Arabidopsis thaliana: one gene and its partners. The protein of the gene in region 4 interacts with the protein of the main gene of each other region in a pairwise test. Each region holds a gene or a part of one and is shown on either strand. Other genes may lie near its edges. The genes, in order: SUA, AT3G09250, AT1G09660 and HESO1.

The links.
Region 1: the proteins of HESO1 (region 4) and SUA interact in a two-hybrid assay, tested with the Arabidopsis thaliana proteins (one large-scale study listed by BioGRID).
Region 2: the proteins of HESO1 (region 4) and AT3G09250 interact in a two-hybrid assay, tested with the Arabidopsis thaliana proteins (one large-scale study listed by BioGRID).
Region 3: the proteins of HESO1 (region 4) and AT1G09660 interact in a two-hybrid assay, tested with the Arabidopsis thaliana proteins (one large-scale study listed by BioGRID).

The regions. Positions count from the first base shown.
Region 1 is NC_003074.8:20,071,541-20,079,122, reverse strand, and holds the start of SUA (suppressor of abi3-5), read right to left. Parts: upstream 6,022-7,582; 5' UTR 5,818-6,021; exon of another isoform or gene 5,721-5,817; 5' UTR 5,652-5,720; intron 5,325-5,651; 5' UTR 5,252-5,324; coding exon 5,204-5,251; exon of another isoform or gene 5,020-5,203; coding exon 4,979-5,019; intron 4,778-4,978; coding exon 4,063-4,777; exon of another isoform or gene 3,973-4,062; coding exon 3,901-3,972; intron 3,814-3,900; coding exon 3,721-3,813; intron 3,631-3,720; coding exon 3,551-3,630; intron 3,404-3,550; coding exon 3,250-3,403; intron 2,532-3,249; coding exon 2,447-2,531; intron 2,306-2,446; coding exon 2,214-2,305; intron 2,122-2,213; coding exon 2,053-2,121; intron 1,494-2,052; coding exon 1,314-1,493; intron 1,159-1,313; coding exon 966-1,158; intron 356-965; coding exon 1-355. Other genes in the region: SCR (GRAS family transcription factor), read right to left, coding at 6,498-6,927, 7,042-7,582. UniProt on the Arabidopsis thaliana protein: Splicing factor that controls alternative splicing of the developmental regulator ABI3. Reduces splicing of a cryptic intron in ABI3, leading to a decreased in ABI3-beta transcript. Regulates the splicing of the receptor-like kinase SNC4/LRKL-2.6.
Region 2 is NC_003074.8:2,837,143-2,841,139, forward strand, and holds AT3G09250 (Nuclear transport factor 2 (NTF2) family protein), read left to right. Parts: upstream 1-1,857; 5' UTR 1,858-1,937; coding exon of another isoform or gene 1,938-1,970; intron 1,971-2,111; exon of another isoform or gene 2,112-2,336; coding exon of another isoform or gene 2,337-2,345; coding exon 2,346-2,484; intron 2,485-2,598; coding exon 2,599-3,112; coding exon of another isoform or gene 3,113-3,152; exon of another isoform or gene 3,153-3,213; coding exon 3,214-3,276; exon of another isoform or gene 3,277-3,418; coding exon 3,419-3,443; 3' UTR 3,444-3,472; downstream 3,473-3,997. Other genes in the region: BSK9 (kinase with tetratricopeptide repeat domain-containing protein), read right to left, coding at 1-47, 153-288, 557-777, 877-958; PYK10 (Glycosyl hydrolase superfamily protein), read right to left, coding at 3,515-3,722, 3,804-3,912.
Region 3 is NC_003070.9:3,127,222-3,133,014, forward strand, and holds AT1G09660 (RNA-binding KH domain-containing protein), read right to left. Parts: upstream 3,874-5,793; 5' UTR 3,653-3,873; exon of another isoform or gene 3,579-3,652; 5' UTR 3,571-3,578; coding exon 3,440-3,570; intron 2,965-3,439; coding exon 2,879-2,964; intron 2,208-2,878; coding exon 2,083-2,207; intron 1,961-2,082; coding exon 1,823-1,960; intron 1,747-1,822; coding exon 1,630-1,746; intron 1,182-1,629; coding exon 1,038-1,181; coding exon of another isoform or gene 984-1,037; exon of another isoform or gene 967-983; coding exon 811-966; 3' UTR 541-810; downstream 1-540.
Region 4 is NC_003071.7:16,574,019-16,579,650, reverse strand, and holds HESO1 (Nucleotidyltransferase family protein), read right to left. Parts: upstream 3,900-5,632; 5' UTR 3,551-3,899; intron 3,415-3,550; 5' UTR 3,402-3,414; coding exon 3,263-3,401; intron 2,997-3,262; coding exon 2,832-2,996; intron 2,689-2,831; coding exon 2,510-2,688; intron 2,419-2,509; coding exon 2,323-2,418; intron 2,220-2,322; coding exon 2,150-2,219; intron 2,054-2,149; coding exon 1,923-2,053; intron 1,810-1,922; coding exon 1,699-1,809; intron 1,592-1,698; coding exon 947-1,591; 3' UTR 666-946; downstream 1-665. Other genes in the region: AT2G39750 (S-adenosyl-L-methionine-dependent methyltransferases superfamily protein), read left to right, coding at 1-60, 268-345, 458-665. UniProt on the Arabidopsis thaliana protein: Uridylates small RNAs to trigger their degradation. Catalyzes the uridylation of 5' fragments produced by AGO1-mediated cleavage of miRNA target RNAs. Acts synergistically with URT1 in unmethylated miRNA uridylation, leading to their degradation.

The DNA of each region.
Region 1 (7,582 bases), on a different chromosome or scaffold from region 4:
TGGCTCCGCTGCTTCCACATTGTTAAAACGTTACTCATTTTTTTCTTGCTGGCGAGTAGGCTAGTCTTTGATGCAAGTTTTATCTCTTTCACTCTCTCTTTCTCTCTCTTCTCTGATGCAATTGCTGCTGCAGCAGCCGCCTGAACCGCATCTGGTAAGGACAGAACTTTTTCTACATTAGGGGTAGTAGCCGCCGAGATAATAACCTTTTGTTGACTGGATTTCTCCTTCTTGGCAGAGTCTGGTTGGTTTTCTGTTACTTTACTCTCATTGTTCTGATCAGGACAAGGAACATATTGTTGTGTTTGCTGGTCATACGAGTACCAAAGCCCACTATTGCTGTCATAATAGAGACCTGTATATTTAGAAACATACGATTAATAGAGAATATTACCCACTTCTTATACCAGTGAAACCAAGTTTCCCATCACCACACACCAAGAAGAGGTGCCTAGTGATAACCAAGATCATTAAAACAGTCTATCATTGTGCCATATCAGATGCGAAATTTTAAGGCACATACACATATATAAGAAGGCATAACTCAGCAATAACTAAAAGAAAAAACTTCCATTGGAAGTCCAACAGCAGCCATAATAGTAATCATATAACACTTGCTGAATCCCTACAGCCATTATTTAAAAGTCTAATTAAGACATACACTTGTATGATTGATTGATTGTATCTCGATGTTTGCTAGTTTGGTGCATACATAGTATAAGAATTCCACAATCATAAAAAAGAACAGGATAGTTTGAACAAACCAGAGCTGACGACTTATTTTTGCCAAGAAGTTATCCTATAATAGAATACATCTATAGCAGGACTATACAACCAGCCAACAGGATCAATCTTACTTTTGCCCATTACATGTTTTGCAATGCCAGATATGGGAATTAGAGCTGCAGCTACCCAACCATACAATCAATTCAAAGAAATAAATAACAATATAAGTAAATGCCGACCTGAATTTCCATCGTAGTAGTATCCAGAAGCCGCATCATAGTAATAACCAGATGCTTCATCCCACACATAGCCAGACTGTGGAGCAGAAGTCCCTTTCTGGGATTCAATTTCCCCAACACCCTGGGCCTGCCCTCCAGTGTTTTGTTTCTCACCAGTATTGTATTCCTTTGGAGCCCATCCAACACCGTCATACTAATAAGGACCAACATGAGTGTCAGGGCACATGGAGTAGAAGAATCATAAGAATGACAATCCTCATCTAAAGATACTGGAAAATTTAATTAAATGATCAATGTGTGATCACCAATACAAACGAGGGAAACTGGATCAAAACAATCTTCAAGTACCTGTTGAGAAAACGTTGCTGCTTCAATTGCAGCAGCAGCGAGGTTGTTGGAGTGCGAGGGTGCTGATATACCAGTTCCAGAACCATGAACACTCTTTGCATACGCAACTCTAAGAATTTTACCATTCCTTTCAAGAGCTGTTCTGTTTGTTGCTTCAAGTGCCTTAGTAGCATCCTCAACCTACACGAACATAATCATAATCTTCTGTTTCAAGTTGGTAGGTGGATTAAAAAAAAGTCAAATACACACATAAACTGGGGGAAAATAGATATTTGGACATATCAAGCAGTTCTACTACAAAATCTGATCACCGTTCAGATATGAAATTGGTAAGAGAATCAGTGACGAAATAAATAATCTACTACAAGAGCTTTTACAAGTCAATGCAAAAGGTGGTTGTCGAATGTAGATTATAAAAAAGTACGACAAAATAAATGATTGAGTGCGCTCACCACCAAACATTGCCAAAAATACCCACAAAACTAGTAGATCATGATTACTAAAGAGACACTTAAACATTTATAAAAAAAAAAAACTATAAAACATAATCACTCTTCACAAGCAGAATAAAAACCAGGTGGTACTGATCATCTAGACTGGGTTTCTAATTTCTACACAATCGAATAAATCTTTGATCAAAAGGCACACTTGCAATTTAAATCATCAGTAAGGGAAAAGCGAAGCAGAAGAGAGAGTTTAAGGAGTAAGTTCAACAACCAACTTGGCTTTGAGACCCTACCGAATAGAAATGCACGAATGCAAATCCTCGTGAAACATGAGTGAATTTGTCTCTCACAAGACGAAGATCCTACAAAATGGCGGAAAGAGGAAAACCAGGTCAACTGACATATAAAGTACAATATCTTAATAGACAACGAATCCAAAAGGGTTTTTGTTAACCTTGATAGGAGCATGTTTGGAAAATTCATACCGAAGCATTTCCTCATCAGCATCTTCATCCAACCCACGTACAACCAGGACATGAGTTGGACCTGGAAAAGAAAATAAGCAGAATGTATCTTAGGTATATATGGCATGTAGAAAAGTACAAAGACTATGGCCTTAACAGTTGCGACTGTTTCTGACTCAAGAAAGAAATTTAAAACATCTTAAATAAAAATGCTGATCAGAACCTGTCTCAGAAATTCGTTTTCCTGCTGCAGAGTTTGATAAACCTACATCCGCTGAAGGAGAATCCTTGGTCTTTGGTTCATTACACTGCATAAGGAGACAGAGATCACAGACATTTATGCAATGGCCACAAATTTGTTATTCCATATTATAACTGAACTTAGGACTTTTGAGTGTTCTATCATAAATCAAGACACAGACAGCGGCATGGCAAAGAAGGGCTACAGATACAATTGTCCACCACAAGATTAAACTATTGATAAAGACTTCACAGAGTTTAAGTAAATAGAAGGAAAGATAAATTAAAAACCCATCAAAAAAGATCAGTTAAAGGGTTTTAGTTGACTTCTTTTTTTATTGACATTTGAAAAATGGAAATTTCTCTATTTCCAAACAAACTATTGTATATGCAAACAAATACATTCTAGCATAGGTATGGACATCAATGTGTCGACATTAAATTAAAATGTTCATTTACCATTACTACCAAAATATGTATGCCACCCTAGTCTCAAACAAAGTGTCAATTGATGATACATATTCGTCACCAAAAGGAACTGCAAATAATCTCTAAGGAGCAAAAAACAGATATATTCTGAAAGTTTTATCGGTTCTATTTTTTTTAAGGTATTGTCGTCACCAAATCATGAGTAGTTATCACTTTGTTTGAGACTCTAGAATCACCAAACAATGAGTAGTTCTTCCGGTAATTAAATATATGTAATTTCTGTTCTTAACAGATGGGTTTATACTCTAGTCCTGACAATGAAATTTACAGAACTTTCATCCAAAACAATGCACCAACCTGAAAGCAAGAGGTTCGCCGCGCAAAATTGATACAGCCACAGATTGTACAGATCCAATCTGTGGGAACTATCATGTTTCGACTTCCACCATAACTGCGTCTAGAAGCATGTTCCTGCCTACGGGACACACCAGCCCTACCAGTAGGTTGGCTGCTACAACACACGCAATTTAGTGTAAGAATGTTATACTCTGATACTGAAACGGTCAAGAAACAATAATTTAAATGTGTAGTAATTCTATGATCCCTCCATAGGTAATATCTAAATCAATCAAAGTCTTATGTTTATTTAAAAAAAGACCTGTAATGGAACATAAGTTTCCTTCCATCCAAAACTATACCATCATGCTCAATTCTATCCATCATGGTGCGTGCGGCATCCTGCTCAGACAAAATACATAAATGCACACAGTGTTGAAGAAATCACAAGAAAAAGCGCAAGGAATTAACAGATTAGTTGAAAGCAAATACCACCGTGGGGAAATCAATAAAAGCAAATCCACGAGAAATCCCAGAATTTTGCTCCCGAATAACACGAACATGATGCAAAGGACCCCATTCAGCCTAGCATGCACATGGGAATAATGAAGTCATGCATGAAAAATTGTTTAAACCTGAGGACATACAGATTCAAAAAAATGAAGAGTTTACCAGAATCTGGTATAGATCTTCTTCTGTTGATTTCATAGAGAGACCCTTCACAACAACAGTGGCGGATGGGGTCTAGCAAAAACCATAAAAATATAGGAACGGATTTTTTAAATGTCTTCGCAACAAAAGAATATAGACCAGGGATGAGAGAATATTTTATACAGCAGAAAAATGATCCTGGTTATGTCTATCTTCATATTCTCTTCGCCTCTCACTTTCATTCCAGTGATCCCCCTCATAGCTGTCCTCCCGGTAACTCCGCCCATGGCTCCGACCTCTAGGAGATCTTGATCTAGAGAACTCCCCACGTCCGGTAGATCGAGATCGTGACTTCTCATATCTCTTATGAGGACTCTCATCTCTTTCGCGGCTGTAACATCTTTTGTCCCACTCCCTATCACGTGAATCCCATTCTCTATCTCGAGAATTCCGTTCTCTGTCCTGCGGATCACGGCTCTTTCGACTGCCATCTCTCACACTGGCCCTTTCATACTCAGAATCATAACTTCGGCGAGTATAATCATAATCTTTTTCACGACCATCATCTCTGCTATGATGGTAATTTTTCGATCTATAGTTGTTATCATTACAAGAATAGTCATCGCAGCCATCATATCTGGACGACCTTTCGTGTTCATGATCACGGTAATGTCCATTACGACTCCCAGCTTCACTATCATGATAATAGTCAGCAGCATAATTTGAATCGATGTAAGGCTTTTCTTGCCTGCGAAGTTCACTGGGATAATTTTCTTCATAGTTTCGCTTTCTAGATTGAGGCAAGTCACCCAGAGTATTATGTCCAGGTGGATAGTTGTAGACATCATCCCGCATCAACCTTTCATCAGGATATCCGTCATCATATGATACGCCAAACCTGTAAGAGCAATGTAGTATAGGTACAGAAAAGATATTAAAAAAATGAAATATGAACTATCATGAATATTTCGGCACAAGTAACCAAACCAAATAAAGTACAAGAAATACAATTTAGTTACAGTAGCTAAAATAAATATACCCCCATGAGCAATAACAAATTAACAACTACATCAATGTAATCCATTTTACTAGCACTCACCGATGATTTGGATCATGCTGAGTACCATAACCCTCCGGAGCCTGTGAATTGAAGAGAATAAGCTATGTCAGCAACAAACATCATTGACGGATATTACATTAGCCAAATCCCATCCACATCCTCACTCTCCCAAGTCTCTCACTCCACGGATGAGTTGAGATTCATAACATCCCTAAAAATATCTTGTTTATCATCCCATATATGTAAGGAGAAAACCACAATTACACTGTTATTATCCCATTCTTGCTGACGACCATATCGACTAGGATCCATTTCCGGCCAGTGCACCAAGCAAATCTTTGATGGTCTGAGAGAATATTCAAAGCTTAATATTTAAAGCTCTTTCCTGAAAATCACGTATAGAGTCTGAGACAGGTATATCTTAATGCATATATAATTAAGAATTCCCAACACTGATCACAAAGAGACTTTGTAGGAACTAGCTAGAGATTCTCTCACTCTCAGAGTAGAAAAACATGCATTGGCGATGAAGTAACAAAAGCACGAGAAGAATGCATACAACAGTAGAGATCATTATATTTTCAGCTGACGATTAGGCCTAAATTCTCAGTAATCGAGTCTTAAAAGCTATACAAAGTAACATACAAAAAACTTGAACTGGTCACATCCACGAAATCCTCAATAAAAAAGAAACAGGTAAAAATGAGAATACCTGTGATGAACTGAAAGCAGCACAACGACGCCGGACCAAAGACACCAGTGAATGGAAGATGAAGATGAGCTGTGATAACAGCGGAACAAAGACTTGGAATAAGAGATTGATTAATAGATAGAGCGCAAAATCAGGGAGCCGATAACCAGAGGTCAGAGAAACAAGCCTGAAACCGGTGACAAATCAGATACGCTGCGATCGATACAGAAACGAGAGAGCTCGAGCGATGAAGTAGCCGTATAAATCGGAATGGTTTCTACCGTGGGAACTCAAATTGAAAATATTCAACAGCGATCGATGAATTACAAGAGAAATGAATTCAGAGCTCCACGGTGGTGGACTTGGCCGAATCCAACTTTAACCAGATTAGGGTTTCGTTGTTGTTCAAGCGAAATATGAAAAGGCGTAGATGAGTTTTTTTTTTTTTAATTGAAAAATCCAAACATCTCAATTTCTTTGCCATAACAAAAATAAAAAACAACATGTATATATTTTTTTTTTGGAAAAAAGTAAACCAAAACAATTCAAGTTGCTAAAAAAAAAATACATAACAATTCCCAAAAAAAAAAATGGTAGCCTTCAAAAGAATTGTGTATTTGTAAATGATTTTTCAGTTAAACGTGTTATCATTTTTATTATTGATGTACCATTTTCAAGTGTTTTCTTCAATATCAAGTGTTCTAATCTTCATGATTAACTTCTATGTATTCCACCAATCAGGTAGCCAATACAGAGTGTGAGTGAGAACAATTTGACTTCAAAAAATCCTCTCTTTTTGATACATAACAAAAAAAAAACAGGTAAATCTATTTATGGGCACATTGTTTGTGAAAAAGGAGAAGAAAACTAAGAACGAGGCGTCCAAGCTGAAGCAGTGAGTAACGAAAGATCTTTCCATCCAAGCTTAAGTGTACCATTATCATCAACCAAAGTGTAACCATCCGAAGGAAACATTCCCAACAGTAGAGTCGCTTGTGTAGCTGCATTTCCAGCTAAAGATATACCTTTAAACCCACATTGTTGCATTTTCTCCCTCCAGCTCTCAAACTTCACTTCACCGCTTCTCGATGGTCCTCCAACCGCTAATACATTCCGTATCTCTTTCGATAATAGCTGCTGTTCCACGACATGTCTCTCTTCACTCTCTTCGCCGTAGCTTGCTCCCAGTGAGTCAAAGAGTGCAGAGTAGTAATGTATTGCTTCTACAAATCTTCCTAAGAAAGAACCAGCGTGGCTCAAATCTTGTTCCACTACTGTCACAACTTTAGGAGCTAATCTGTTCATTCCCCAATCATTAACCAAAAAAGCCACTTTTTAGAACATATCTTTCCTATATAATCTTAAAATAATTTATAGATAAAGAGTGATTAAAAGGTAATGTTTATTTTACCTTTGGAGTAACCAGAGAGTGTGTGCATCAGAGCCAGTGACATCATAAAGAGAATGTTGAAGCCAGTGAACAGCCACAGCTTCCCTTTTCCTCACATTGAGTCTCTCAGTGTCCAAGTTTCCAACTTTCTCAGCTAAAGGGCAGAACTCAAAAGGCAGGCCAAGCTTATCTGCGAAATCCGAAAGACGTTTCCCTGTAGCCTGAAGAGCTTCCATGGAAGTACCAAGTCCCGTGAGTCGCACGTGTGGAGGTCCTCCAGGTCTAGAAGCAAGAATGTGGAATAAACCAGGCCATTGAAGTCCCTGCATGATGTCCAAGTCAATGATGTGTACACTGTCTTCTTTCTCAAATGCTTCTTGAATCGCCTGATTCGCTGTAAAGTGTGAGAATTTCACTAAAGGGCTTATCCCATTAAAGACCTGAAACGCAGAGACCATTTTCAAGCTATGCGTTTGAGGCATCCACCGTGAAGGCAAAGCCGCGTAAATTCCGAGACACGAGTTGAGTAATCTCGCTGACATAGCTTCCGAGAAGTAAGCAG
Region 2 (3,997 bases), on a different chromosome or scaffold from region 4:
TAACGCAACTCTCAACCTCATTTCCCACTTCATTGGTCTTTTCTCCCCTGAAAAACCATTTTAGAGTAAAAACAACTTAGACACAATAATGAAACTCTAAAGTAAAGTTTAAGGCCAAAAGAGATCAAGAACTTGAAATGTTTGAGTCTCACAGTGAAAGAGATGCTTAGCAAGTGTTTCATTAGGCATGTACTCAGCAACAAGCAACCTCTCGTGACCTTCTGAGCAACAACCGATCAAATTGGCCATATGCTCACTCCTACATCTCCCTACAGCTTGTGCTTCCTCCTGAATAACAAATATGCCATATTCAAGAAATTTTCCTCTGCAACAGATCAAGCATAGAACCGAATTGAATCTTTACTAAGTCAAACAGACTTGAAATTTGCCTCCTCTGCAACAAATCAGAATCCAGAACATTGCAACATTCAAGAGAAGTATCACGGAGTTAGTAACCAATAAAGTCAAATCAGATGAATAAGCGATCACTAGTCAAATCTTATACAAAACCAAACAGAGAAGAATCAATAAGTATTGATGGGTAAAGGACACGAACGATGAATTCTAAAGAATCAGGCCATGAAAGCCGTTGAAACCGCTTGACGGCGATCTTTCTTCCGTCGTTGAGCTGGCCTTTGTAGACGATGTTAGGAACCCTCTCGTTGTGCTCCGACACGATGTTGTCGGCGGAGAATCCGTCAGTTGCGACTCTCAACTGTTCCAAGCTGAACTCCAGGAAATTAGGACAAGTACTTCCTTCATCTTCTTCTTTATTATCTGCAGCCAAAACTATTAGGTTAGTTCTCTCGATCATCGTCTTCTTCAGAATCTAATTAACGCATAGGAGGAGTGGCTGGCGAATTCGTTGGATTTTACCTAGATCGTCGATGACGGTGATGGTGGATGTTATCGACGGAGAAGACGATCGACGCCAACGTTTGAAACAAATGCAGCCCATCGCCGGCGACAGTAGTTTCTCCGGTGGAGAAAAACTTTTCAAGTGCTTGGTTAAAAACTCCCGCCTGCAGGGAGAAAATAAATTATTATTTTTTTCTTTTTTGCCTAGCGAATATTGTTGGAAAGTTTTACGGAGAAAGTGGTAAAATAGACCCAAAAATATCATTTATTTATATATCACATAATTAAATAGTTGATGACCAATATATACTTTTTTTTTTTTTGAAAAGATCAACCTTTATACTATTATAAGGATAAAATGTCGACATGATCTATGTATTAATTTAAAGAAAATATTGTTTGCTTGTTCCATTTAAATTACTCGGTATTAGATTAATTTTGAGCATAAACATTACAGGTTTTTATTTTGGTAAATAATCATTAGACTGTTGAGTTTGGTCTTTACTTTAGCCTCAATTTTAAAGTCTATATTCAATGGATTTTGCTTACATACATTTCATTCACGTTTAAACCGAAATTAAAATATCTCATTTAAGTTGTAACCAAAAAAAAAAAAAACAGAAAAATTCTCATTAAAATTAATTTTTGCTAGTTACCGCAGCTTTTCGAGACTGGGTGTGTAATATCCATCACACTAACCTTTTTTTTTTTAATCCATCCATACGTTTAACTACATTTAAGCAAATATCGCTATCAAATCGTTTTGGTATATTTCGCTCATTACTGGCAAAATTCACTCTACAAAAAAAGTCTAGTTTGTAATGGGACGCTCGTTTTTAGGTGACTTATATAAAAATAAATAAATAGATTAAAAAACAAATAAAATCAGTATAGGCCTAAATAAAAGTTAGCTTACGGACCATTTATGATGAAACTTGGGCCCTAATGCAAAGCCCATTAATTTTATCTTTGGAGTCTGAAGTCTCTCCTCTCTGTGCTTTCACATAATCACATTGCATGATTGATCAAATACTCGATTTTCCGTGAAATCTCTTTGAATATTTCGATTCCTTGTTACCATGGCGCTTCATGGGTCTGGAGTTTTTTGTAAAGTAAGCTATAATTCTTCTCTTTGAGATTTACTTCCTTGATTCTTCAGCTCTAATCTATACTTAAATGTTTATCATACGTTTCTCGTAAGTAATCTCGAAATTTAGTCGATTTTCAATAAGAGCCCATTGATATTGGATGATTTATGGTTCATATACAGAGTTCTAATCTTGTCTGGTGTGAGAATTCTTACGGATTAGTAGGTATTGTACTAAGATTAAACCCTAGAAGAAATTCGATCAGAAAGTGTTTGAATTTCAACACTGAGATGTTCAATATCCGAATTTGTTGCTACTCCACTTGATGCAAATGGTTATGTGATTCTATTGTTGTGCTAATATGGCCTTGAATCGTTTGCTCCCTGATAGGTTTCAAACATGGTAGAGATCACTTCTCCGTTTGGTGGTTCCATGAGGCTGCTTCACTTGCCTAAATCTTATCCGATTCACTGCAACATGGTTTCAGCTAGCAATACATTTGGGTCAGCTCATCTCAAGCTGCAAAACAAAGAACCGTGTGAGTCTACTTGATTTTAGTTCGAGCATCTTATCTAGTAGAAGATCTGGTTTTGGATAAGACCGGTTTCTTTAGACTTGGTTCTGATTAGTGTTCTGGTAACATTTGAAGCAGGCTCCCGTTTAAGGCCTTGTCGAGTCAAACGCGAAGAAAATAACCAAACTGCGGATGTTGAAAGCATTTCAATGGATGAGAACACGTTGAAGCAAGATCTCGAGACTGCGGTCCAGGAAGAGAATTATGTGGAGGCAGCTAAAATCCGTGATAAACTAAAAGAGCTTCAAGAAGACAACAAAGCCTCTGTTTTATCAGCCAATTCTCGGTTCTACCAATCTTTCAGAAACGGGGATTTAGCTGCGATGCAATCACTATGGTCAAAATCAGGAAACCCGTGCTGTGTACATCCAGGGGCCAAAGGCATAACTGGTTATGATTACGTGATGGAAAGCTGGGAGCTTGTGTGGATGAACTATGAGTTTCCGTTACTGATTGAGCTGAAAGATGTCGAGGTTCATGTCCGAGGAGAAGTAGGTTATGTAACGTGTATGGAGTTTGTGAAGACGAAAGGGAGTAGTAGTTGGGGAGCTCAGTTTGTGTCGAATGTGTTTGAACGGATCGATGGACAATGGTTTATATGCATTCACCATGCTTCTCCTGTTGATATTTGATCAAAGAATCGAAGAAACGATACACATTTTCAAAACGTTTTATTTTTATATGCGTTTGGAGGTTGCGGTGGGATACATTGGTGGTTTGCTTAAGGGTGATGAAGGACTGTTTTTTATTTCTGAGGTTGGCGATTGGGAATGAAAACGCCACACAAACGAGAAGAGGCATAAGTTGTGACGTTTGTACTAGAAGAGGCACAAAGGATCATTTTATTATAACCAGAGCCTTGTAGATCTGGCAAATCATGTAGACAATGAAAAATGAGAAGAAAAATAAACTCTTTTTATTAGAACCAAGACCTCATGAATCTTGGTCACTCACAAAGTAAAACATAGGAAAAACACATTGAAACAGAAATAGCTTAAAGCTCATCCTTCTTGAGCGCGGATGGACGAACACCTTGACTGAGGAAATCCTTGTAATACTTGCCGGATTCTTTCTCGTAACGTGTGAGGTTATTTTTGAAATCAACGTAGTAGAGTCCAAATCTGTTTTTGTAACCATCTTGCCACTCGAAGTTATCCAACAATGACCATACAAAGTATCCTGTAACATTCACTTTGTCGATGCTGCAGATATTACACAAATGTTTTTATTAGATTCTTCACTACAATTGTTAGTATATCAGATGAAAAGGAAATAGGACATACCAAACAGCTTCTTGCATACTCAAAAGATGCCTCTGAAGATAATATTTCCTGTTATGATCAGCGGTACCAACAGCAACAGAATCTGAGGCCCCTAGTTCTTCTCCATATCCTAAAGAAGAACATCAACATCAATATATTTAGTTCTAAGATAAAATCAACCAAATAATAGTTGACAGTAACAATAGAATCTCTAG
Region 3 (5,793 bases), on a different chromosome or scaffold from region 4:
GTTTCAACATGTACCAACAATTTTTGTCGTGCTTTTTTATGCGCTTGTTATGCTTCTAATTTATCTCACACAGTCGGATGATGTCGTTTTTCCTTGCATACTTTCAGTGACCACAATATGCTCTAGAATCTTTAAGGCACCTTATAGGTTTCTCAACGATAGCCCAAACTAGGATCTTGTTGCTATAAACTCCCCGAAAACAAAGTCTTAAATCTATGTATCTATTCAAATTCTGAAGAAATGTTAAAGAAATTGAAACAAGGTAACGAATCTCTCCGAAACCACCAATCAAATAACTCAAACAACTATCTGAAGCTTCCAATGACTTTGTTCTGTAATTCAATTGAAATAATCTCCTTTTACATGGCATCAGAATCAGAGCCATAATCAATAAATAATTGAGAAGGAGATTACATTTTCATAAGCACCATTATTAGTTTATTACACACTGGTCAATGGTGAATCTCTTTGTTGTCTAATAGTTTCCGACATTTGAATCTGAACCTTAAATCTCAAAACAAACTGATAATGAATGGTAGATAGACAAATGGAGAAATTTCAAAACTTAAAATGAAATAAACGTTTGGGGTTTAAAACTTAAATAAAGGTTACAATGATTGAGAAGGAGATTACAATTTCATAAACACCATTATTAGTTTATTACCCACTGGTTAATGGTCATCTCAGCTAACCAACAAAAATAAAGAATAAAGTTAATGACAAAATAAATTAATTCAAGAGTCCAAACGTTAGAACTTAGCAAACTCATGATCCTGCCCACAAGACCCATGCACTAGTGGTTTCTCTTGATCATATCTCTGTCTTAGCACGCTTGCTGTTGAAAGGGGACATGCTGGGGCTCAAACAAGGGCTCAAGCTCGGACTCGGACTCTCCTCCCTTAGTGTACCATTCAAAGCCGCTAACTCCTTCAGCTGTTCCCTCTTGTAGTGATCCATTGACTCGTCCTGTAGAGAGAGAAGAATCAAAACCATGTGAACAAAATAGACATGTTTGGACTTTTGTGATAAGAATGTACCATCGGCTTCAGGAGTGATTCCAGGAAATGCACTGCATGCTCCAATCGAGAGTTTATTATGTCTTCTGGAAGCTCGGCCTCGATCAGTACATGTAGTGGCTCGCAGAGATGCTCGTACCCTGGCTTACCTTTTAATTTTTCCTCCTGCAGGGAAGTAAAGAACTAAATGGATAAGCTTTCACACCGCATGGTAGATTGTCAGAGAATATATAAGAGTCAGAAAAAAATGAATTTCAAAACTTTCTCTATTTACTTCTGATGATGTAAGAACCTAAAACTTTAACAGTTTATTTCTTATACAGGCTGCCAAAATTTACATATCTTCAAATGTAAACAAGAGTAGTAGCTGCTGATGCAGTAAAAAATGTATCATTACTTCAACAATAAGCTTGATATGCTAAAAGACGTAAGCTTATACACAAAAGGAAAACAAATTGCTCCTAAAGGCCGGAAGAAAATTGTGCGTATTCAAAACATGGTTATAAAACTGATTAACAGGTAAAAACATGACATAAAGTGAAGTTTTGAACTGTAAGAATAAAACAGAGACAAAATGGAATCCTTCAGAGAATTAATAAACAAGGAGCCATACCTTGACAGTATCCTTCACAGATCCTCGTCCTCTGATAAACACCCTGCAGTGGGTTGCTAGCTCAACTCTTTTTAGGGAGTTTCCACGTGGCCCAAGAATCCTCCCAACAAAATTATACTGCAACGCTCAATGGATTTAAACTCTAGAACAATCCAATTATAATAACCTATTTGGGTAAAGATTTAAGACATACGCTTGGATATTTATCCACTGGGACATCAAGTCTAATCACTTTTTTCACAATGGGTGGGTTAGGGAGTCCCGGCATCCCAATCCAGCCCACTGGGGAAGGACCGCGAAATGGAGAAGCTCTCTGGAGGTGACAGTTTTCCTGAAGAAAGCAAAAGCAATCAATATCGGTAAAGCCCACTCTTGATTATAAAAATTATTAGTATCACCATTACAATTCAACATGAATCAGTTAATTGACTACAACTATCAGCAGTGGCTTACCTCGGCTTGCATCATCGACCATCCCTCTAAATCAAGCTTTCCATTTGTCGGCTGACCAAGCGATCTAAATGGACTGCCATGCTCATATCTATCAAGATCAGGAAAACTAGAGACCCTCCTGATTTCTGCACAGACGTCAGCAATGTTGGCAGTTAAGCAAACGTATAAAAGAAACTGTAAGAGTTATACATCAGGGGCATCTTCAGTCTCTTATCTTTAATGCCAATAATGAAACAAAAGGCTCGGGTTCTAATAGGTTAGAATGATGAAAACTTCAAACACATCTTTGTCTTTTAAGGTTCACACATCCCTTAAGGGCATGATGGACAACTAAAAGCTAGGTAAACAAGTCTGGAAACAAGCTTCTAATCACCATATGCATATTTACGGACAAATAGGCTTCCTAGTATAAATTAGTTGGTGATCATTTGCTTAACGATCATTATCATTTGCAAACACATAGACTTAATTCATTTTCACATAACATAACTCATCAAGGATGATCATTTAGCAATAAGTTGCAATTAAAAACTGTTTCTAAATGCTAAAAGTAACATAGACTTTGATTGGCTATATATATATTAAGAAGGCCATAACAAAGAGAATAAAAAGTTGCATGTAGATACATTTTTGTTACTCAACTATCCTTACCCAATTTCTGTAAACCTTTAACTGGAAAAAAGCCAGGGTGATGCGCACTAAGGCTTTGTTCACGTGGGAAATTTCTTAAGTTCGTGTGCACACACTCTAAGGAAATACTAAATTCAAAATCACATAGCTTAATAAGATAGCTCACCATGATTAAGCAGTCTGCAGCAATTTGGCATAACTTGCAAAAAGGGACCCAACTTTTGTCTCTCTTGCAATAATTCAGTCAAGTACCTGCACAAGGTTAAGAACAAAAAAAACTTAAGTTTCAGTGGATGTTGCGTGTGAATCGAGTGGGTGACATTGGAATCAGCACTCAGTCACATGTAAACTAAGCTTCTAAAAATACATCAGTACGTTCATTTCTAAAACATTGATAAAATATAGCTATCTTGTTAAAATCCTTAAGAGTACATTGTATAGAATCCAATAATAAGTGAGCTAATTGTGAAAAAGGCGACATGTTGAGGTGAGAGAGTATGATCGAGAATTTGGATCTGTGTAAGCAGTTCATGAAAATACAAACTTGACAGAATCATTTTTAAACACTGATCCAATCAAAGGCAACAATACCCACCAATCACAAAGAGACACACTTGAAGTTGTGCTAAAGCAACAAGTCCAGAAGAAGAAACGGGTCCACAACAATCAAGCTAACACAGATTCACAAATAGCAAAAAGGTTGAGAAAGAAGAGAGAAAATAGAAACCTTTCACGATCAGAGGGAGGACAAGGGGATCGATTAGGAGAAGCACGGAATCCAGAAAGAGGATACTGGAAGAAACTTCCAGGAGAGATCCTCTCTTCCATGGCCACGAAACCAGCGCCAGATTCCATCATCTTTAACACTGTAAATCCACTTAGAAAGTCAGATTGTGCATAAAGTAGAGATAAAGAAAAACAGAGAAAAACAAGTTGTGACCGGAGATAGTGAAGAGGAGAAGCGGCGGAGGATCTGACGCCGATCTCAAGGATGAGAAAGGTGTCTTGAAGTAGGTGTGGACTGTGTAGAGTGGCCACAGAGGAAGAAGAAGAAGTAGGCAAAGTAGGGAGGGAGTCAAAAGCCCTACTCACGATGAGAGACTCCTCCTCTCTCTCTCATCTCATTTTCGATATTTTCTATTTTTGTGTTTAGTTTTTTATTCTCTAGAGATTCTGTCATCTTCTTCTTAAAAGGTTCTTTGCGTTTTCATTATTATTGGGCTTCAGGTCACTAATAATGGGCCTACCTTCCCTCAGGGACATTGTAGCCTACTTCCAATCCGTGTAAACTAAAAAAATGAAGATGATGGATTCGAGCCCTTCCGAGGCAATATAACTATTCTTTAATGGGCTTAATTTTTTTTGTTTTGCTTTAGACAACAAAACACATTGGGCCGGGCCTGGTCTACCTAGTACCTTTCTTATGCATCTAATTCATTTGATCCTCAACATGCCAAATATTTATTATTTTATTTATCTCTACGAACTCTTGAAAGGTCATCATCATTCACTTGATTGCATTTGCCTATATTTTTAGTGGGAACGTAGTTAGTGATGTCCCCTGAGCGATGATGTCACCTCAGTGATGTAATGGATGATTTATTTTACTTAAAAATTCTAAAAAGTAAAAACAATGGACGAAAACAAGAATTCCGTCTATAGTGAATCAGTTAGAATATCTGAACGGTGATTTCCATGTTCCACTACTTTAATTTATTTTCTATAAATTATAATTACATTTTACACCAAACGCAGTTTACACACATACTGTATATGATAGATGCAGTCACATATACACTAAGGAAGCTAGTTACTCAAGCCGTGATTTATATACAACTTGGAAGCAAAGAAATAAGATGCTGCATAATTCACAACACATTTGCGCCTACTTCTATCTTCAAGATCCTTGATCGTCTTCCTTGTTTGTATCCTAAATCTTAGCTATTGTTCATGTAAATCATAATTTTCATTAATAGGATATTTACCTATTACTTAGCAACAAAAAAAAACGGCCGGGTTAAATGGTGTAGTTGGAAGTTGGCTACTATAAGAAATGGAAAAAATAATAAAACGCAACTTAATGAAGATTCTGCCGTTTTGCCAATGAGAAATAAAGAAGAAACAGCATAAATCTTTGTTCCCCTTTTTAATTCTTTATCCTAGGGTTCCCTTCTTTCTATGCTTTCTGTTTGTTAGCTGTTCTACACATGTATACTTTTAATTTGCAGCCAACATGAAACTTCTCCTTTGTCAGCACTCAGCCTTACGGAACAACATGTAACCCTAAACAAAATTCTACATGACCTAGGGGATTTGAAACATCCCAAGAAATTTCAGTATATTAGGTAAATGGTATTATTCTACTAGAATATATGTAGTATTTACTTTATCAAATGTATACATAAAAAGGTTTTCATTAACAATCACAGCCCAAAAAAAAAAAAAAAAAAAAAAATCCATTTCTTGGGATGTTTCAAATCCCCTAGGTCATGTAGAGTTTTGTTTAGGGGTACATGTTGTTCCGTAAGGCTGAGTGCTGACAAAGGAGAAGTTTCATGTTTGCTGCAAATTAAAAGTATACATGTTGTAGTACAACTACCAAAAAGAAAGACCTAAAACCAAAGAAGAAAACGGATAGAAGTTCGACATTGGGGAAAAATGTGGGTAGTAGCTAGTAGGTGGTGGTGAGAACAACAATGAGGATCCAGAGACAAGAAAAAACCAAGAAAAAAAGAAAAGTGAGGTCTGCTTCTGCTTTCTCTCTCCGCGCACGTGCGCCAAAAACGCTTTTCTACGATCTTGTATTAACTGTTTGGGATTGTGACTTTTCTTCCTCCTCTGTCCAATTTTTGGAATAATCAAATTCTGGGTCCGCCACTGCATTTACGCATGTTAACTCAAGAAAGTTAATGACAAAGTTCCTAACGACGCCTTCCCTCCAGTAATATCGATAAACCTAACATTAACAATGTACCTAAACCCTCCCAAATCCCAATATCATATACTATAAATTAAGCTCTTGCTAAACATCTTAGTAACCATTGTTCCATATTACATTACAAAACTTGTCTTCTGTCCAAA
Region 4 (5,632 bases):
TGGGCCTAACACATTGCCTGTCATTTATGACCGTGGACTGTTAGGAGTGATGCACGATTGGTACTGTTTTCTCCTTAGAATCTGTCATATGAAATCAGAATTTGGAATCCTATAGTTGAAACCTTGGAAATTAGTGATTCATCTTGTCCTTTTCTCTGTTCATGTTTTTTAAACACAAAAGTTCATCTGTTTATGTGTCTTAAGGTAAACTAAGATTTAGTCTCTGGCTCTGGATATTTTTTTAATAAGTGATGCATTCTACCTCAGGTGTGAACCATTTGATACATACCCACGGACATATGACTTCTTACATGCCTCTGGACTCTTCTCGATCGAGAGAAAAAGGTAAGCATCATTATCTGTAACTCAAGTTCAAAGTGATTTATAAATTTTTAATCTATGATCGTGTGGTGCCTATAGTTGAGTTTAACCATTTGTCTTGTCTGAATATTATCAGATGTGAGATGTCAACCATATTGTTAGAGATGGACCGGATATTAAGACCCGGTGGAAGAGCATACATTAGGGATTCAATTGATGTTATGGATGAAATTCAAGAAATCACAAAGGCCATGGGTTGGCATACTTCTCTGCGTGACACATCCGAGGGTCCTCACGCAAGTTACAGGATTCTAACATGCGAGAAGCGTCTCCTTCGAGCTTAATACCACACAAGTTACTGCACTAGTCAACACAATATATTTTGTTTGGTAGTATATCTCTTATTGTTTTCTTCTTTTTTCTCTTAATGTAACTGTAAATTTGATTGTGGTGTTTTACTGAGTAAAAGTTTACCTCGTCCTCATTTTTTAGTAACAACATTCTGCTATTGCAAATCTGTTGATTGTAACGAATGGATCCATAGAAAAAAAGCCCCAAGGTCAGAATACAAAATCATCCAAAATATGTGAAGGAGTATCTCTGAACCATGTCTGCACACCTCATTCTACTGCTCATGTCTCGGTCTCCAGATCTGTCCGCCTTGGCTTGGAATTTTTGATGGAGGCCTTGCGGAGTTCACACCATTCGTATATGCAGGTCTTGCAGAGTTCACACCATTCATATGACCAGATGGCTTACCAATGTGGCCCTGATTCTGACTTGAACCAGCAGATGTATTTTTCAATGGTCGGTTCCCACTCTTATATGGGCTCTTCTGCTGCGTTTGAGTTTGTGTGATTACAGGCCAAGTTTGGCCTTGGACAGGTGGTTGCCCCTGAAGATTCCTGGGGTTGTTCTGAGTCCAATTCTGTTGTGGTCGGGATTGTGTTAGTGGTGGCCAATGTGGTGGATTCGGGGTATTGTAGCTCTGTGACCAATTTTGCTGCATTTGCTGGTTCTGTGGCCTAGCCTGACCATGCAGATTACGGACATTGTGCATACCGTTTGCATGATGTTGACTTGGGAGGCTTATTGTTCTGTACAAAGACTCTTGAATGTGTTGCCCTGTCAGAATCCCTATGATGGAGTTTCTGTTACACTCTGAGACAAGACGGCGCGATGTAATCTGAAATACTTGAGCTATTCTGTCCAAATTTCTACGGCTCACACTCCTTGCAGCGTTCACCGGCTGCTCAAAAGGATCTTCAACCTGAAACACACACCATTCCCACATGTTAGCCGGGAGACTCACATGGTGCCATAGAGATGAATATAACTCAACAAGAGGTTAAGAGAAAGAAAGAGAAAGAGACTAACAAAGAGTGAGTATGTCTTTGGCAGCCATGTAGTGTTGCTGCTTATAGTTTCCCATCTTCCAGTAAACGGGCAAACACCGAACTCTTGGGCCTTCACGTTTATGTCTGAAAACTGATAGATACAGCCACACAGCAAAATCAAGATACTAATTTCTATCAAGAGCACTTTAGTGGATATTATTAAGGGAAAAAAATTAAAGCTAGAATGTATGAGAAATCAATCACCTTTGCAAAAAAAGAGACCAACAGCTCCGAGAGCGAGCTTCGATTGACTGATTTTGCTCTCTCTGATTTAAATCTCGCAATATTAGCAGCAGTAACTTGCGCTATGCTTTCCTCTGCAGTTTTCCGTACACCTACAAGACACCATACCGCTAAAACTTTTGTCCCTTTACCCCAAAAACACATATATTTTGTGTGGTTTGGCTTCAAAACCTTTTCATTGAGCGTACCTGTCAGATCATCAACCGCACTCTTCGGATATATCACTCTTAGAGGCGGCAAGATTGCAGGCACACAAGTCTGCAACAAACAACATAGAACATCTTACTATGGTTTCTAATGATGCAGTAACTGCAGAAGGCTGAAGGCAGCAAAATCTATGAATACAGAACAGCTATCTTACCTGAAAATGGAAGATGACTAACAAACTGAGAGAGTAAGAGTTGAAAGTCCCGGTCTTTGAGTCGTTGATATTATGAGCTTTCGCCCATTCCTTCACCTACAAATGTAGAATACACGAGGTAGATACGTTTAGAATCAATTAAACCTTTGGAAACACACAATATGGTTTTATTTGCATGTTAACTTACTAGCAAAACCAGGTCGCGGAATCTCCCATCTATTTCACTGATCCAGAACAAGAACCTGCTCTTCAAAAGCCCATCCAGGTTATCAATAGAAATGTCACAAGAAATTCTCTGGTGGCCGCTCACTACTTTCAGAATAGGAACTCGCGCATGAATAACAAATTGCAGTTTGTACCATAGACCTGTTTTTTGAATGATAATGGATGTGAGACAAATCGGCACATGAAATAATACTTAAACTACTTAAGTAGTATATAAGGTAAACAACAGTGAAGCAAAGAGAAAACCAAAAAAAGAAGAAAAAAATAGAAGCTAAATGAATCACCACTCGCTCTCAGTGCTCGTAGTAAATGTCCGAGTAAAGTTTGTTTCTGCTTCTTTCCAGTGAACAAGATGGAAGAACCGCTGAATAAGTCAACAGAGATATCTAAGTCTCCCCATCGTGTGAAGAGATTTGACACAAAGGATCCAAATGGTTGAACAGTAGCACCTAACAATCACAGAACCAGACAACGAGCGGCTATAAGCATCACATGAAATAATTTGTTTCCAGAACGAGAATAGTGCGAAAGAGTAACATGAACCACTTCTACTATTCTGCAGCTACAATTCCAGCAGATATTACCTTACTGAAAGCTCGAAGTATCTCACTTTCATATCCAATATCATAATCACATCCATGGCTGGTATGGTTCAAGGCAGTACTAGACAGTAAGAAAAATGGGAGAAGCACAAAAGTGCATCAAGAGTCATCACCTCTTAAACATTCTACGGATTGTAAGACGTCACGCAACTGATCAATGACTGTGATCCTCGTATCCCTATCTGCTCGTGTGGGTTTAATCACTTGAAGAATTTCTTGAAGAGTAGGATCCAGGAAAGGGTTTCTACTCATCGTCTTGCTCCCTCTACAATAACACCAAACACACATTGCCAAGTTATCTCAAAGAAAACATCATGCAACAATAACACAAGGACTTCACAAGCTCCAATCAAAGTAAATTCTTGAGATTAAAGGTTCAGTTTTTCTGATATCTTGCTCACTTACTACTCCAAAGGAACAACCTTTGTCACTAAAAGCAAGATTCTTCATTCTCTAGACCCAGTGGCCCACATTTTAGTATCATCAAAACTGTGAAAACTCTACCCAAAACCTTACAAAATTCCTAATAAAAAGAATCAGTGAGTACTGGGTTTTCACATCCACTGGACTTACAAAAGGATGATTCGAAGGAGATGAAGAAACCTTTAGCCCAAGAACCCAGAATCTAATTCCAATCTAGGGTTTTTCTCTCCCAAATCAGTAATCCGTACCGAATCACCCAACTTGAGAATGCTCGGAGATAATTTTAGCGCTCGCAGGCGAAGACAATGAAAAGTCTTTGGAAGGTTTACTTTATTTTATTCAATGCGACGAAGGAAACACTTCTTTATTTCATTTTATTTAATGAATGATGTGACCATCTTTTTTAGGAACCAATAACATTATTACAAAATATACTATAGAAAATTGTTGGATTTTTAAAATCAATGCTAAATTAAAGGGTATATATTCAATCAAATATTTTGAGATAATTTATTTTACATATTAAAAAAATTGCATGTTATTTGATCATAGATTTTACAAAGTCATATTAAATATGATGTTAATGGTTAGTATTTGTAAATATCTCTTAAACCCTAGTTATTAAACTGATGAATTTTCTTTACATCTATTTTTATTAGAAACATTTTAGACAATGTTTATTTATGATTTTGATGTGGTTGCATACTTGCATGCACATGGAAAATTATCCTTTTGACAAAAACTAGTTGGCTTTCTTCTTTTTGTTCAATCTTTTATCCTCCTCTACACATTGTCTCATATTTTATTGCAATGGTAACCTCAACTCTTTTTACAGTTAAACCTCCATAAATTAATACTCGATAAATTAGTAACCTCTATAAATTAATAAATTCACCAGATCCCAAGTTAGGACCAATGTAAAAAGTGTAACACATCGATAAATTAATAAGATAATAACTTTTTTGAAAGTCCTATGTAAATATATAGTCTCATCAATATCATAAATTAATAATTGCATAAATGTATCAACTATATATATACATTATATGTAAGAAATGTTTTTGATTTTTTTTTACTTAAATTTGTAGTTATTCTTATTTGAAATTTAGTTCTAATGTGTTACTGTATCAAAAAAAATTTGGTATTGTTTTCTAGACATGATATAATTTTGTACTTGTAATTGATTTTAGAAAGATATTTTCTATAATGAAAAAAATCTTATAAAACTTTTTAAAAAGTTACCAAATTAGGAAAATTTCTCTATAATTAAAAAATATTAATTTATCGATAAATTAAAACCTTTTTAAATTAATAAAATTTTGCAGTCCCAACATTATTAATTTATAAAGGTTTTACTGTACTTCATTTTCTAACCTCAGTATGTTAAAAGTCATGTATGTGTACTAAGAATCAAACCTGGCACGCAAACTTTTGCTAATTTTGTCACATACAGTTAACATTTAGCATTGTGCGAGTAGCTCCACCACATTATTATCAATCGTTTGGTTCTTCAACATGTCTTATATATGGATCAATAATAGTTTAATATCATATCAGTAATCTTTGTTCTCTTGTCTTGCATGTAGAACATGTACATATTGCTTCGTCGGCAGCGAATGAAGCCTAAAATTAAAATTTGGTTTTGTCCATTGATGATATGATGGCTCGTTCCACATGAGAGAATGGTTGAGAAAACTGAAAATAATGAAGAGGATGAGAAATTATAATGATCAGACAAGTGAAGTGTTTCATTTTATAGCTTAGTGTAGAAAACGATTGCTTGTGATTGTGAATATATAGTTTTAGATGAGTTGTTTTTATAGTAACTTTGAGGGAACAATAAACTATGATATAGTTATCATTTTTATTTTAAAACAAGTAAATTCATATGAATTTCTGATATATTCATATTTTCACTATGAATTTAAACACTATAATCTTATTTCATATTTTAGCATATGATATTTTGCATGATGCTATCTTAGCCTCGACTATCTTTACTTCATCTTCTAAACTATATATTTATCAAATCTTACGTATGCATTGCATCACTTGTTTTT